Coturnix japonica: one gene and its partner. The protein of the gene in region 1 interacts with the protein of each later gene in a pairwise test. Links are inferred from orthologs where the notes say so. Each region holds a gene or a part of one and is shown in the gene's direction. Other genes may lie near its edges.

Region 1 (6,594 bases):
TCCCATTTCCAGTGCAGCTTTCAGCCCGCAGGATAAGCGGATGATGAGGTATACAGTTGTGGTGTGGAAGGGATTCAAACAATGTGAATGAGATTCTTATCTTCTGGGACTTGTGTGATACAGAGAGTGAAGAGGAGGGAAGACAAACTGTTCTTCATTTGCAGAAAATGCTTTAATCTTTTGCTATGCTGTGTGGCTATGGCAGAGGAGAAAGCAGGGAAGCTGTCTTCCTGCTTAGATCAAATTGCCAGGCCTTTAATTTTGACCAGATGCACCATGCAATTATGGCATCTGATGGGTAGTTATAAATGAATTAGTCTTTGACAAACTGAACTTCATTTCAAGTAATATCGGCATCACAGAAGACTCAGGAAACTGAATTCTATGACAGGGTCAGTGCCTTTCCCTAAGCACTCAAATTTCTTGGCAGAATAAAAGGAGGCCTGAGTGCAAAGAGACAGAGTATTCTAATTTCTAAGCACATTCTGGAATGGACGCCTTGCTGCTCTTCCCACAAGTAAGCAGTGCAGGATGCTGACGGGCACTCTGAACCTTGCCTCTGTGCCTGCCAAAATCTCCCTTTTTATTGTGGTTCCTATTGGCGTTATAGGTAGTATTCCTGCCACCACGCCCCATGCTCTAATTGCCATGAAGTACAGGAGGTTCAAGCACGCTTGGTTCCCAAGGCTGCTAATGAGCTCCAGCTCTCCTTGCCCTTAATGAACCAAGACTTGTCTGGGGGGATTCTTGTCTGCCCCTCTTTCTTCCTGGTCAGGGAAGGAGGCGAGAGTTCACACAGCAGAACAATGACTTTACAGTGCGGGGGCCGTGCAGCTGTGCCATCTGAAGCTGTGCTTGGTTATGAGCAACAAAGCTTAAATAGATTGTACTGTGAGGAGGTATGGCTCCGTGAGTGTGAAGCGTAGCTCTTGCTTCTGCCTCACTGAGCTGTCCGCTCGTAGCAGCGATGGGGCCCTGATGGGAGCTTCTGCAGGGAGAGCTGCGTGGGGCGACGCTTTTGCATTCTCTCTGTGTTGCTGAAAGCAGAATTGGGAGCAAAATTAAGTTTTAGAGGATCTCTGAGAAGGCTGCGCTGCTGCCTCCTCTAGAAAATCCCTTCAAAAGTCACCTATTCCTAATCCACCTCAGATGGTTAATAAGGCCACTAGAGCAAGCGTAGTTCAGGAGTTTCAGCCATGGAAAGTATTTACACAACAAAGTATGCACACAGACAAACCAAATCTCACTTTTCACTGTCTTTCTCACTGCAGCCTCTTTTCATGGGTTTGAATCACCAGGAATTTGGGCTCAATTATTTCTTGTGCTTCATCTTTCTCGGAGTATTTCAATTAGGGCACTGCAATCCTCTGGCTATATTTCTCTCACTGCAAACACACGTGTCAAATTTACACATATATACGTGCCTGTACGTACGGTACAAATTATCTTCAAATACATAGGAGCAGCATATTAATATAGTACGATGAATACATCCATGAAAAACAGAAAAATATCACAGGCTTTCCTTGATACACTGTTCCCTGTGTATATTGGTGTAAATATTTACACAGGTGAACACAGATGTGTAACCTAGGTGCCATGCTATAACAATAACTTGGCTTTTCAACCTGAGAAAAGAACTGTGTGAATTAAGATAATAATAAGAGATGTAAGGTTACCGGCTGTTATACTCTGGGCTAACTCTTGCACAACGCTTCACAAAGGTGAAGTTGTTTAAAGTTTTACTATTGGATTAGCAAAGCCAAAAGCAGCATCTGCAAAAGAAATCTGATTTTGCTTTAGTAGGCTGTTTGAAAATCATTTTTTTGTTGCTTTAATCATTCTGGTTTTTTAGCAGTGCAGAGAAACATCTGCTGCTTTCCTCAGTCGCATGAGCGAGAAAGAGAAAGCGAAAGAATAAGGAGCTTTTGCTTTGTATTCCTAAGCAAACAGAGAGAATAGGAAAAAAAAAAGCCATCTAGTTTTAAATACCTGACGTGTGCATGTTCAGGTTCAGAACTTTTGCTCGCTCTCCTGCCCTGTTGGTGGACCGATAGCACTGGGAGCTGCGGCGAAGCTGACAACCCCCCATGGCTGACCCCTCGTGTTGTCGCTCGCCTAATCGAATTTTGCATGTGTTTCCAGATAGCTGATCAGCTTCCCTGGATTTCGCTGACGCCACAGGAAAGCTTTGCCTGAAGATGGAAACACTGGAGTCGGAACTGACCTGCCCTATCTGTCTGGAGCTGTTTGAGGACCCACTGCTGCTGCCCTGCGCTCACAGTCTGTGCTTCAACTGCGCGCACCGCATCCTGGTCTCCCACTGCGCCTCCAACGAGCCGGTGGAGTCTATCACCGCCTTCCAGTGCCCCACCTGCCGCTATGTCATCACCCTCAGCCAGCGCGGTCTAGAGGGGCTCAAGCGCAACGTCACCCTGCAGAACATCATCGACCGCTTTCAGAAAGCCTCGGTGAGTGGGCCCAACTCCCCCAGCGAGACCCGTCGGGAGCGGGCATTTGACAGCAACAGCATGTCCTCCTGCGAGAAGGTCCTCTGCCAATTTTGCGACCAGGACCCTGCCCAGGAGGCAGTGAAGACATGCGTGACCTGCGAGGTCTCCTACTGCGAGGAGTGCCTGAAAGCCACGCACCCCAACAAGAAGCCTTTCACTGGCCACCGGCTGATCGAGCCCATCCCGGACTCTCACATTAGGGGATTAATGTGCTTGGAGCATGAAGACGAGAAGGTGAACATGTACTGCGTGACGGACGACCAGCTGATCTGCGCCCTGTGCAAGCTGGTCGGGCGGCATCGGGACCATCAGGTGGCAGCTCTAAGCGAGCGCTACGACAAGCTGAAGGTGAGTGCTGCCCTCACACCCCATATTGAGTGTTGAGGAGGGAAGGTGTCCTGCTACTGAGTGTTACGTTTCCTTGTTTGGGCATGGGCTGGTAAAGGCAGGTGTGTGGTCTGTCATCAGATGAGATGCATGTACAGACTGCTTTGTGCTCATCAAAAAGGGGTCAGATTTTCCCTTGAAGAAAGATTCCTCGGTTGCGCTTTGATTTTTCTGCTGTACGCAGTGTACACTATTGCTAGCACAATAAGCTAGTATTAGCTTATCTGTGTGCATCCGTCCACATCTTCCCTCTTGGCAGCTGGCAGGGTTTTATGTTGGCTACACATACACAGGCCCTGATGGAAGTGTCAGGTGTTCTTTGCATATATTCTGCTGTTGTTTATTTTTTATCAAGCTGCTTTTATCACAGAAAACTCTTTTCATCATTGCTAATAGGAAATGCATTTATACCTGCTGATTGCAGGGGCTGCAGCTGCCTTGTCAGCTAGGGAAACCAAATGCCAGCCCCAGTCCTCCTGTGCTGCCCTGAAGGAAACTAAACCAAAAAACTCCTTCAGCTCCTTGTGGCATTCCACAGTTCCCCCCTCCCACCTGGCACCCACCTGGCCCATGTGGGATGTCCTCACTGGGTGAAACCAGCAGGCCATGATGCAGACCTGCTCAGGTTGCTCTGCAGGCTTCCACTGAGGCCATCAAGTGGCCTTGGACCCAACACATTGATTTAGGTGCTGCAGCAGAGAGGAATGAATGAGGTTCCCTCAGGCTAGTCTGTATGTACTTGTCTGCATGCGTTTTGGGGGGATTCCTTGGTTATGTTGAGAAGACACAAGTGTGGAGTGCGAAGATAACAATAATAAGTTTTGGAGATGTGAGAAGAAACTGAATTAAAAGATCTAACTAACTGGAAATGTATTCTTAAATAACTTGAAGATAAAAATATGAGGCTGCATGCATAGGTGATAACTTTGTGTGAGTGCAGGTAAATTCTGTATGCCATATGGTTTTTGTGCCTCTATGCATGTGCAGATATGCAATTCATGCCGCACGATTATATGAATATAATGAAAGATAGTTCTTTACTTGGACCTGATAGCTTCTTTCCATTCCTTAATGAGTTTTTTTAATCTTAAAGAGAAGTTGTTATTTCAGCTTTACATATTTATTTTGTTTTTTTCTGTAGAAGTACTTTTTTTTTTTTTTTTTTTTTTTTAAATAATTAGGAGTTTAGCCACTGATAAAATGGGACGTCGGCTCTAAATGTGAATGGAAGGTGCATGAATCTACAGTGCTCTTCAATAATCCAACAGGTTACATGCTTACCAGGTGCTACAATTCAGCAAACTAATAGAGACTGAACACCTGTATCATTCCTCAACTTGATAAGAGTAGGAATGTGCAACTTGATGTGAAATACCTTTGGAGTTCAGTATTGGCTAAGTGTATGTTTGAGGATGTCATATGGTCAATCTTGTAAGAAGATTTTAAAAAGCAGGTGTCTTCACTTGAGATTATTGGCTAAATATTGCACATGGTTAAGAAAAAAATGTGTGTGTGTTTGCATAATCTCTGTCTTTCCTGTGCAAAGGTGCCTACGCAGACTCTGGATGGGTATCTCAAACAAACAAGCAGCATTCACATTAGATGTTTTCCAGATTAGCAAACCTGGCAGAAGCCTAATAGAGTACTTCCCACTAGTCTCATCAATGAGTAATTCAGGTACTAATTTAATGATTAGTGTGGGCCTGGATCAAATAACTCTTTCTTACAAATGCAATTTCTGTCATTATTTATAATATCCATGCAATTTTTGTTTAGACTTAAACTCTCTTTGTTCTCAAACTACCTGGAAGTAGTTTACACAGGAAATTATTAGCCGACATGAAATCCAATTTCCATCCTTTTTGTCATGAGCGAAATAGACTTATTTTATTTAGTTAATCCCTGCAGTGATACCAATCATGCCAATTTTGCCACTAGTTTGAGCCCAGGGACAGTAGGCTATATGATTTCCGTCCAGATCCAGAGTCCATTCTCTTTTCATAAGAAGGCAATCAGAAATTGACGTCCTTGCTTTCCCTACTGCCCCTTCCATCTCAGTAATGTGAGCTGTTTTATATATTAAACTCCAAGAATGAGATTTTCAGCTCAGGAGATTGGATTTCTTCCTTAGGAGTAAAGGAATTAGGTTTATTTACATCACTGTTTAGCAGTGAACAGGCAAGACAGTCTGGTCCCTTTTCATGTTGAGGCAACCTTCTTCATAAATGGTAATGCCATCCCTTGAGTAACTGCTGGTTTTGTTGTTTTAAGTCTTTGGTTCAAGCTTGCAGTTAGTCTTTGCTAAGTTACAGATAATGTGCGGATGCCAGTGGTAAACACAGTGTCCAAATAATTCAGAAAATGCCCATTTGAAAAACAGGTTGTTGCTTGCTATGTTGTTGCTGAGGATTTTTAAATACATAGGGTTTGTGTGATAGATGGGTTATGCAAATCTTAAAAGAAAATTATAAAGGAATGAGTGCGTGCTAGTCAATAGGGTAGTTGATTCATTCAAAAATTGTTGGCTAATTGTATCTTTAAAGAAGAAAAACAAAACTGCTTCATGTAATGCTTTCTTTTCTTGCAATTTTCTTTTTAAATCAACACATTGTTGATGCCAACAACAGCAACTAGTGTGTAGCTCTAGGTGTCAGGCTATGCTAATTACTTGCATTCTCATCCAGCGGTGTTACTAATTATTTAAACTATATCTCATCCTTCATTAAGCATAGGACAATAGACGCCATTACAATCTAGCTCCCTTTGTGGCAAAAATGAAGCCCTTTAATTAGGAGTTCTGTATACTTGTCCAGCAGAGACGTCTATGCTAAAGCATGTTTAGCAGTCGGTGTAATTGCAATTGTGGACATCTGAAAATGAGAAAGTGTTTTCCTTTGGCAGCTATTGCTCTAGCCCTGAGAGATGCTTTTCTTAATGAACTTTTACTGTGGGTGGAGGGGTCTGAGGTCACTTATTTCAGAAGCAATTCATTCTTGGTTACTAAGAGCACATGGTGTAATTACATGCTTGTAGATGTTTTTGTTGTTTTAGAGTGTACAGCCTTTTTTATTTTTATTTTTATTTTTATTTTTATTTTTTTTTTAAATATAGGCCATAGAAACAGATGCATTTAAAAAAAAAAAAAAAGAAAGAAAACTCATATACCATGACAAAAACAGAGAATAGGAAATATTCTGGTTATCGCTGCATTTATGAGGTGATGGTCAGAATTGTGGTATAAGTTAGAAATAGCTTCTAGCTGCATAAACATTGAAAGTTGTAAAAGCAGAAGGTGCGAATGCCCATGTTTAGTGCAGTGTAATAGTACAAAGAACATGTTTTTGCCTAATTACTTTTGATGTTGATTTTTTGCTTTTTGTCTTGTGGAGATATGAAGGAAAAGACAAATGTGCGCTCATATTTTCAGAGAAAATTAATGAAAATTGCCATCGTTCTTCAGACATATTTAAGCTTTAGAAAATGATAAGAAAAATGAAAAGAGGGAGAAGGTACAGGGTGGGTGTGAATGGAAGAATAATGTCCATTTAATTTTAGCAAAAAGCCATGAAGAAATGTCACAAAAGAGGAAGATAGATGGTAAATCATATTTTGAAATGGTATAAAGCAAACATAGTGCCATTGAAACCAATTTTTTCTTCTTCATATTTACCAGGAGTCTGGTCATCGATATGCA
Region 2 (7,294 bases), on another chromosome or scaffold:
TCTCAGCTGCAATGTGCTCTGCGGCTTGCTGCATGCTGCAACACCTTTCCTCAGTCCCAGGAGAGATTTACAGGCCCCTCCTGCCCTTTCCTGGAGGGCTCCCATGCCCTGAGAGGGCAACGTGCAGTGAGCAGGCAACAAACTTGTGGTGTGTCTGTGTGCCCGGTGGTGCTGAAGGCAGTTTGCACAGGACGAGATGTCAGCACACACTTTTCCTTCTCACTGCCCCTTACTATGGGAATCTCCCCCACAGAGCCCTTACACGATGTATAATGTGTACACAGCTTTCCTTACCCCAGGGCTTCCACAAGCTGCAGAATAGTCCAGCTTCCATCTTTCACCCCTGGAGAAAAGAGATAAAGAGAGTGAACCAAAGAGACTCCCAGACAGTTATTGAGGCAGAGAGCAGCTCTCCCGATGCTCCCTAGGGGACAAAAGAAACCAAGCTCTTAACAAGGCAGTGGTTGAGCCAAACAGCCCAGACATTAACAAGCACTCAGCTTCCATCACCTCTACTCTGAGCAACACCTGCACAAATGCCCTCCAAGGCAGAAAGCACAGAGAAATATGGTTTTGTGGTTACTGTACGACACAGTGCTGGGACTGCTGGAGTGTATTTGCAGCTCTGACTCAGGCACCCCAGCCAGGTTGCTTCACTTACCTCCTGCAACTGAACTGGGGGAAGAGTCACTCCCTAGGAGGCTTTGGTGAGAATCTACTGCACCCTTCAAAAGCCACGGCAGAGGGGCTCCTACCCCTGCAGTCAGTGCAACACTCACCCACTAAAACAGCTCTGCGTGCCTTTGGTCCCCAGGATTCACCATTTCTCTGCCCTGCTGAGGGCTTGTCTACACAATTGGTGGGGCACCCACCTATCAGAAAGCCCAGAGGTTTCATTTGGGACTGTCCCAGGCCTTGCCTCAGCTGGAGTATCCTGCTATTGCCAGCATTTACTGTCTCTTTCTAAAGCAGTTAATTCCAGTATTAAGTTGTGCTGTTCATTGGAGAGTAGTTTCTGTGGATGGAAGAAGAAATGCCCACAATTTCTGTTAGCAAGCAGCCCTGGCTCCAAAGACAGCACTTCCAGTCCCACTTGGCACAAAGAGGATAGGAGGCACGGCATGGAGAGCCATGAGGAAAAAGGAGAGTCCAGCTGGCCGCAGGATGGACAGCCACAGGCTGAAGAAGAGGTGCCTCAAGTGAGACTGAGCTGCTGGCAAAGCCTCTCGCAGGAAAACAGAAGCATGGTAGCAAGCAGGCACTGTGCTTGAGCACAAAGCAGAGTGCTCCTTCACACCTAGGATCCCACCACCTTATTCCAGAGCACAGCTCCTGCATCCTCATGACTCTGACCTCTGCATGATGCAAAAGGTCAGAGACACACCAGTCCCACAGGTGAGCACTGACCTGCTCTACACTTTCAAAGCCTGAATGCAATATTTAGACAAAGGTGCCGGTGACCTCACCAATAGGAAAGAGCTAAAGAGTAACGATCTGGCCACAATCAGCCACCCGTGTTCTTGTGGCTATGAACCCCCTCGCTCTGGTCTCAAAGGTCTGCTCGATTTCACTGTGCATGAGCGAACCACACGAGCCCAGCAGCATGCAGAGCAGCAGCAGCACGCAGCACAGCTGAACTGCGAGCTCAGCTCCAGCTGTGCACCTTGTATCCCAGTGTGCTCCTTTACCAGAAGGGCTGCCCTGCCCTGGTGGTGTTCCTAGAGTGTGAGGCTAAACAGAAGCGAGCAAGTTACCCTTTGTTATATTCTTATTTGAAACCCATCAGCCTTCCCTGACATCTCCCTTTCACGTGCCACATTTCATATATCATTTCCATACACTTTCTTCTCCTTACGTTTCCCCAGCTCCCTTACAATGGGAGTGCAGCAATTCCCAGCGGGCACAATGGATTTCTCTAACGGCGTCATTCGTCTCCCGGTGTTTTAACAGGAGCACACTCAGCCCCTCTGACACACGCTGCCTTACGCAGCCCCAGCTGCGACAGCACCGAGCTGCCTCCCACCTGTCAGGGCACATTGAATGCAGCGCACAAAGGAAGCTCGTTCAACGTGTTTCTTCCCACAGTCACACAGAAGGCGCCGAGCTCAGAATAAACCCTGTCCTTCCCTCAGCGCTACGTGCTGTACCGTAACGCTTCCAGCCGTGACTCCATACAGGTCACGGAGGCCGCACGATGCCGGCATCCCCCCGTCATCCCACGTGTGTCTGTCACAGCGCCGTGCGGCTCGTGGGACCTGGCGGACACGTGGCCCAGCAGCCCCGCACCCCACCCCGCCCCGCCCCGCCCGGTACCTGCGGCCAGCTCCGCGTTGCGCCCGTCGTGCTGCCCGCTCACCCAGTCCCGCACGGCAGCACCGAGCTCCTCCGCTCCCGCCGCCATGTCGGCCCGTTCCCCGGCACACACCGGCCGCGCTCCCGCCGTGCGCACGCGCAGCCCCGAGGCATGAGCCCACGGCACATGCGCGACCCCGGCGCCCCCTCCTCACCTCGCCCCCCCGGCCGGTATTGGTGGGGGCGGCACGGCGCTGTACGGCGGCGCGGGAGGGACAAAAGCCGCGGGCAGGACGGACGCGCGCACGTGGGCGGCGCTCCCCGCGGGGCCGCGGCCGCGACGGGGCGGTCACATGCGCACGTGGGGGGCGGGGCGCGCCCAGGGCCGGCTTTGGCGGCGGGGCGGCTCGGGCGGTCGGAGTCGGGCGGGGCGGTTTGACGACGCCGGAGCCCGCGGTGCAGCGCGGCGTGGAGCCCGGCCGGACACATGCCGAGCCGCCCGCGCCGCCGCCGCCGTCGGTGAAGCCCCGGCCATGGGCGGCTGCGTGGGGCGGCAGCGCCGGGAGCGGCCCTCAGCGGGGAGCCCCCGCAAGAGAGCAGGTGAGCGGCACCGCAGGGCGCGGGGCGTCCGGTCGCGGCGTGCCCGGTGCTGGAGCTGTCCGCACGGCACCGCCGGCCGTTCTCTTCCTGCCGCCCGGTTGGGGTCGGTCCCGGGTCGTCCCGGCTCTTCGCTGTGCCGGGGATTCCCCCGCTCGTTCCCCGTGCGCCCCGTCGGTGCCGTGCCGTACCGTGCCGTGCCGTGCCGGGCTCCCGGTTCGAGCCGCCGCGCATCCCCGGCGTGACCCCGTAGTGCCGCGGTGCCCGTGCCGGGATTGGCTCGTGGTGCCCCGCCAGCCCCTCGTGTCCCCGGCCCGTCCCCAGCACCGCTCGCTCGGACCGGCCGGGCTGGGGGCAGCGCTCCCGCTGCTGCAATTCGCCCCGTTGCGCCCCATCGTTCCCCAACGGGCCCCGCCAAGCGCCGGGCGGGCGGCACGGTGAGTCACTGCCCGCCCGCTGCACCCACACGGGGAGGAGCAGGAAGCACCGGGCGCGGGGACCCCGCGGCGTGGGCCTCTCACGGGAGAGGTTTTCCCACTGACCGGTGCCCGGCTGTCACGGAGCGGGCGGTGCTGCAGGATGCTGCTGGGCACACAGAGCAGGGCTCGGATCTGTGCGCTGTGCTGCTCGCTGTCCTCGTGTCCCCTCCTTCCCCCAGCACTGCAACCCGAGGCTGGGGGCTCTGAGCTGCTCCGGCTCATAGGTGGCTCATAGGAGGGCTGACCCTGCGGGCTGCAGGGTGCTGGAAGTTGTCTGTCCGGAGCAGCCCTGCAGGGAGCTGAGCTGGGCAGCAGCAGGTACGGCATGTTGGGTTTGAGTGAGAGCACAGCTGGGCAACTCCTGACCCCCCGTGTCCCCCGAGGGTGTGGAGTTGCACAACGGCTGGGAATAGAGCAACACAAGATGATTAGAGGCTGGGTCCAGGCTGGGTGGCAGCAATAAATAGAAGAGGCTTAGCTCCTGCCTACCTGCCCAGGGCTGCCGGTGGCTGTGGGGTGGCGGTTGGGCCACAGCCTGTCCCTGCTCCTGCAGACTGGGCTCCCTGCCACACCGTCAGCTTGGGTGCCTCTCTGCAGCCCCTGGATTCCTCTTCCTTGCTGAGCACCAGCCCTCTTCCCTTTCCTGCAAGTGGAGCTGGGGGATGGTGCCGGCTGGGAGCTGTGCTGCCTGGCTCAGATGTGTCCATCCCTAACACTAAAGGACCTCGTTTCCTGGCAGTGTTACCTACTCTTCCATCCTGTGCCTGCTCCTGGCTGCTGCTGTGTGGGGCCACGGGCACAGCCACCTCTCAGTCAATAAAGGTGACAGCACCAGGATGGAGCTGTGGGACAGGAGACCTCCATCACCCTTTAATCCCCATGTGTCCTTGTCTGGCTGATGCTGCAGAGAGAACGTCCTGAACTGTCCTGTTCTCACTGGGACAGGGTCACAGCCCCAGACACTGTCCCTCTGCAGCTTGTGGTGGCCCAGGGATGGTGTGGTGGCCCACTTGTTGCAGCCATGATGCTGGTGGCTCCCTCCTCTGCGGTCCTCACCATGTCCTTCAGTGCTGGTGGTGTCCACTGTACCCGGGGCAGGTGCTGTCTCTGACCTTGCTCTGCTCTGCCACGCTGCAAATCCCTCCTGCCCAGCACCGTGACTGCTGAATCGGCAGTGCTGGCTGCAGCCCTCACTGCTTGGAGATGTGGTGCAAGCAGGATGCTGCCTTCCCAACCCTGCTTAGGTGTTTAGCTCCCAACCCTCGGGGTGGCTGCATTCTGTGCCCTGGTCCATGTGTCACATCCAGCCCCAGGAAAAGCCTTTGGGAGGATGTGACAGCCTGTCCCCAGCAGTGGTGGCTAACTCTAGTGGTAGCTGCACGTGCAGGCAGGTGGCATCCCCCTGCCTAGCAAGTCATAGCAGCACTCAGCATCCTTCCTGCCCTGTCTGACTCCACTCACTCTACACCCCTGCAGGCATGGTGTGGGCTGGCTGCCCCACAGAACACAGCAGCAGGAAGGAGCTGTTGACACTCTTTGTCCCCAGCCCAGCTGGGAGTGACAACAGCTCCTTCCTGCCCCACGCTTCCGGCCCTGCTGTGATGCAGGTGGCACGTGGCCATTCCCACGGGGCTGGAGCTGCCGTGGGTGCTTCACAGCTTGGTCACACAGGTGTGCTGCCAGCCCAGGGACAAGCTTTCCCTGCCACTTGGCATGGCATCCAGCTGCAGCTGCCATGCAGGGGGCTGCTCACAGTGCTGTGAGGCTGCTGGGGGGTCGGCAAGGCTCGGTGTGGCACAGTGCTGTCGCCTCCCGCAGCACTACCCTGGGGTGAGCAGAGGAAGAAGTCATGCCCCCCTCTTTGCTGGGGCTGCGGCTCAGCCCCTGTAATCCCTTTCGCTCTCTGCCGCACCAGCTTATTTCCTGGCTAATTCCCCAAGCTATAAATACTGCTCTGCCTCAAAGGGCCCCAGGCCCTGCAGCCACCCCAGGCTGCCCCTGGCATCCCATCCACAACCCCTGCACCCCACCCGGGATGCTGCTGCATTTCTCGTGGCTGTGTTGGGAGCTGTCCCACTGGGCATGCTGTGGGGAAACCCCGATAGCCCGTGGATCCCTTTACTGTACTGGGAAATGGGGCACCCTTGTTTGAGCCTCCCTCTGTCCCCCCAGGCCGCAATGAGCCCCTGAAGAAGGAGCGTCCCAAGTGGAAGAGCGACTACCCCATGACAGACGGGCAGCTGCGCAGCAAGAGGGATGAATTCTGGGACACAGCGCCCGCCTTCGAGGGCCGTAAGGAGATCTGGGATGCCCTGAAGGCTGCAGCCTATGCCGTGGAGGTCAACGACCACAGCCTGGCCCAGGCCATCCTGGATGGAGCCAGCATCACCCTGCCCCACGGTGAGGGGTGGTGGTGGGGGGGATGCAGGAGTGGGGGTCCCCATTTGGGGGTGCCCTGCATGGCTCCATGTCTCACCCCGCTGTCCGCAGGGTCGCTGACGGAGTGCTACGACGAGCTGGGCAACCGCTACCAGCTGCCTGTGTACTGCCTGGCACCGCCTGTCAACCTGATCCTGGAGCGGGGCGAGGAGGAGGCGGCTGAGCCAGCTGAACCACTCCCCAATGCCCGGCGTGAGTTCGCCCTCAAGGTGCGCCTGTCCACTGGCAAGGACCTGCGGCTCAGCGCCAGCATGGCCGACACCATCGGGCAGCTGAAGAAGCAGCTGCAGGCGCAGGAGGGCATCGACCTGGCCTGGCAGCGATGGTTCTTCTCTGGCAAGCTGCTCACCGACCGCACGCAGCTGCAGGAGACCAAGATCCAGAAGGATTACGTGGTGCAAGTCATCGTCAACCAGCCTCTGCCACCCAGGAACTGAGCTCTGGTGGGGAGTGGGGAGGCCCCTTCCTGCACCGAGGCCCAGCGGCACCTTGGGGATGTCCAGTGCCGTGTTCCAGCCCTGCTGGGGTCATCGGGTCCCCTCCCCAGGGCTGTGGGCTGGGGACATGGGCACATTTGCTGTGGAAGGTGTGAGACCAAATGTGTGCTGGGGGGGCCCCTGCCATGGGGCTGCCCCTTGGGGAGAGGCTGTGACCCGCCGGCCGGGCTCCTGCTGCCTCTGGCCCGGGGGCTGCAGTACTGGGCGGAGATGTCTCCCCTCTGTACATAGTCTGTGTATTTATCAATAAAGCCTTTTCATCCTTCCTCCCTGCTGGAGATTGCTGGGGGCTGTCCCCTGGCCCATGTGCCCATCTGACATCTGTTCCAGTGTCACCTGGTAAAGACAGCTGGACACAGGGGATGCCAGGGGTCTGAGATCTGTTCCCCTTTACAGCCCTGGGTGTCACCCCTGCGCACCCCTCTCCTTCCTGTATCTGTGGCACTCATGGGATACAGCACCCAAGTGTGGCCCTGGGTCCTACACGTGCCCAGGAGTGTGACGTGTCCTCATCTGTCCCTCATCTGCTTGATCCCAGGGGCTGGTGCCCAGCGCATTAACTGTCCCAGCACGAGGTGCACTGGCCTCATCTTACAAATAGGGAAAGCAAAGCCTGGAGTGGCTGAGCAATGTTCCTGGCACTGGGAACAGCTGCGGGCTCTGTCTGCCGGCCCTGCTGCCTGTGTGCATGCGGTAAGGAGACCAGGTTCTGGATGCTCTGGACCTGAGGTCATCCTCCAAAGCAGCATGGAGCCACAGTGAGCATCCTGACTGCCCAGTGTGGGCGGCATGGACTCAGGAACCACAGGGCTACCACATACCCTGGCACCGCTCCATCCAGGGGCTGGACTGGCTACACAAGCCCTGCATGCCCCAGGTCCCTGTGCCCAGTACGAGGGTCCCAGGCAGCCAGATGAGGATGGGGCATGGGTTGCTTTAAGAGCATGGAGGAGGTGAGCCAGGGGCACCAGAAAGCAGCAGGGTGAGCTC

Evidence for each region.
Region 2: the proteins of MID1 (region 1) and UBTD1 interact in binary tests that used the Homo sapiens proteins (3 or more experiments, as listed by UniProt). The two-hybrid records come from large-scale screens. The link is inferred for Coturnix japonica from reciprocal best matches to the Homo sapiens genes MID1 and UBTD1.

Annotation. Positions count from the first base shown.
Region 1 is NC_029516.1:112,265,440-112,272,033, forward strand, and holds part of MID1 (E3 ubiquitin-protein ligase Midline-1), read left to right. Parts: intron 1-2,145; 5' UTR 2,146-2,201; coding exon 2,202-2,861; intron 2,862-6,594. UniProt on the Homo sapiens protein: Has E3 ubiquitin ligase activity towards IGBP1, promoting its monoubiquitination, which results in deprotection of the catalytic subunit of protein phosphatase PP2A, and its subsequent degradation by polyubiquitination.
Region 2 is NC_029521.1:19,480,092-19,487,385, reverse strand, and holds UBTD1 (ubiquitin domain-containing protein 1), read left to right. Parts: upstream 1-2,592; 5' UTR 2,593-2,645; coding exon 2,646-2,892; intron 2,893-5,540; coding exon 5,541-5,768; intron 5,769-5,858; coding exon 5,859-6,244; 3' UTR 6,245-6,570; downstream 6,571-7,294. Other genes in the region: MMS19 nucleotide excision repair protein homolog, read right to left, coding at 295-343, 2,314-2,401. UniProt on the Homo sapiens protein: May be involved in the regulation of cellular senescence through a positive feedback loop with TP53. Is a TP53 downstream target gene that increases the stability of TP53 protein by promoting the ubiquitination and degradation of MDM2.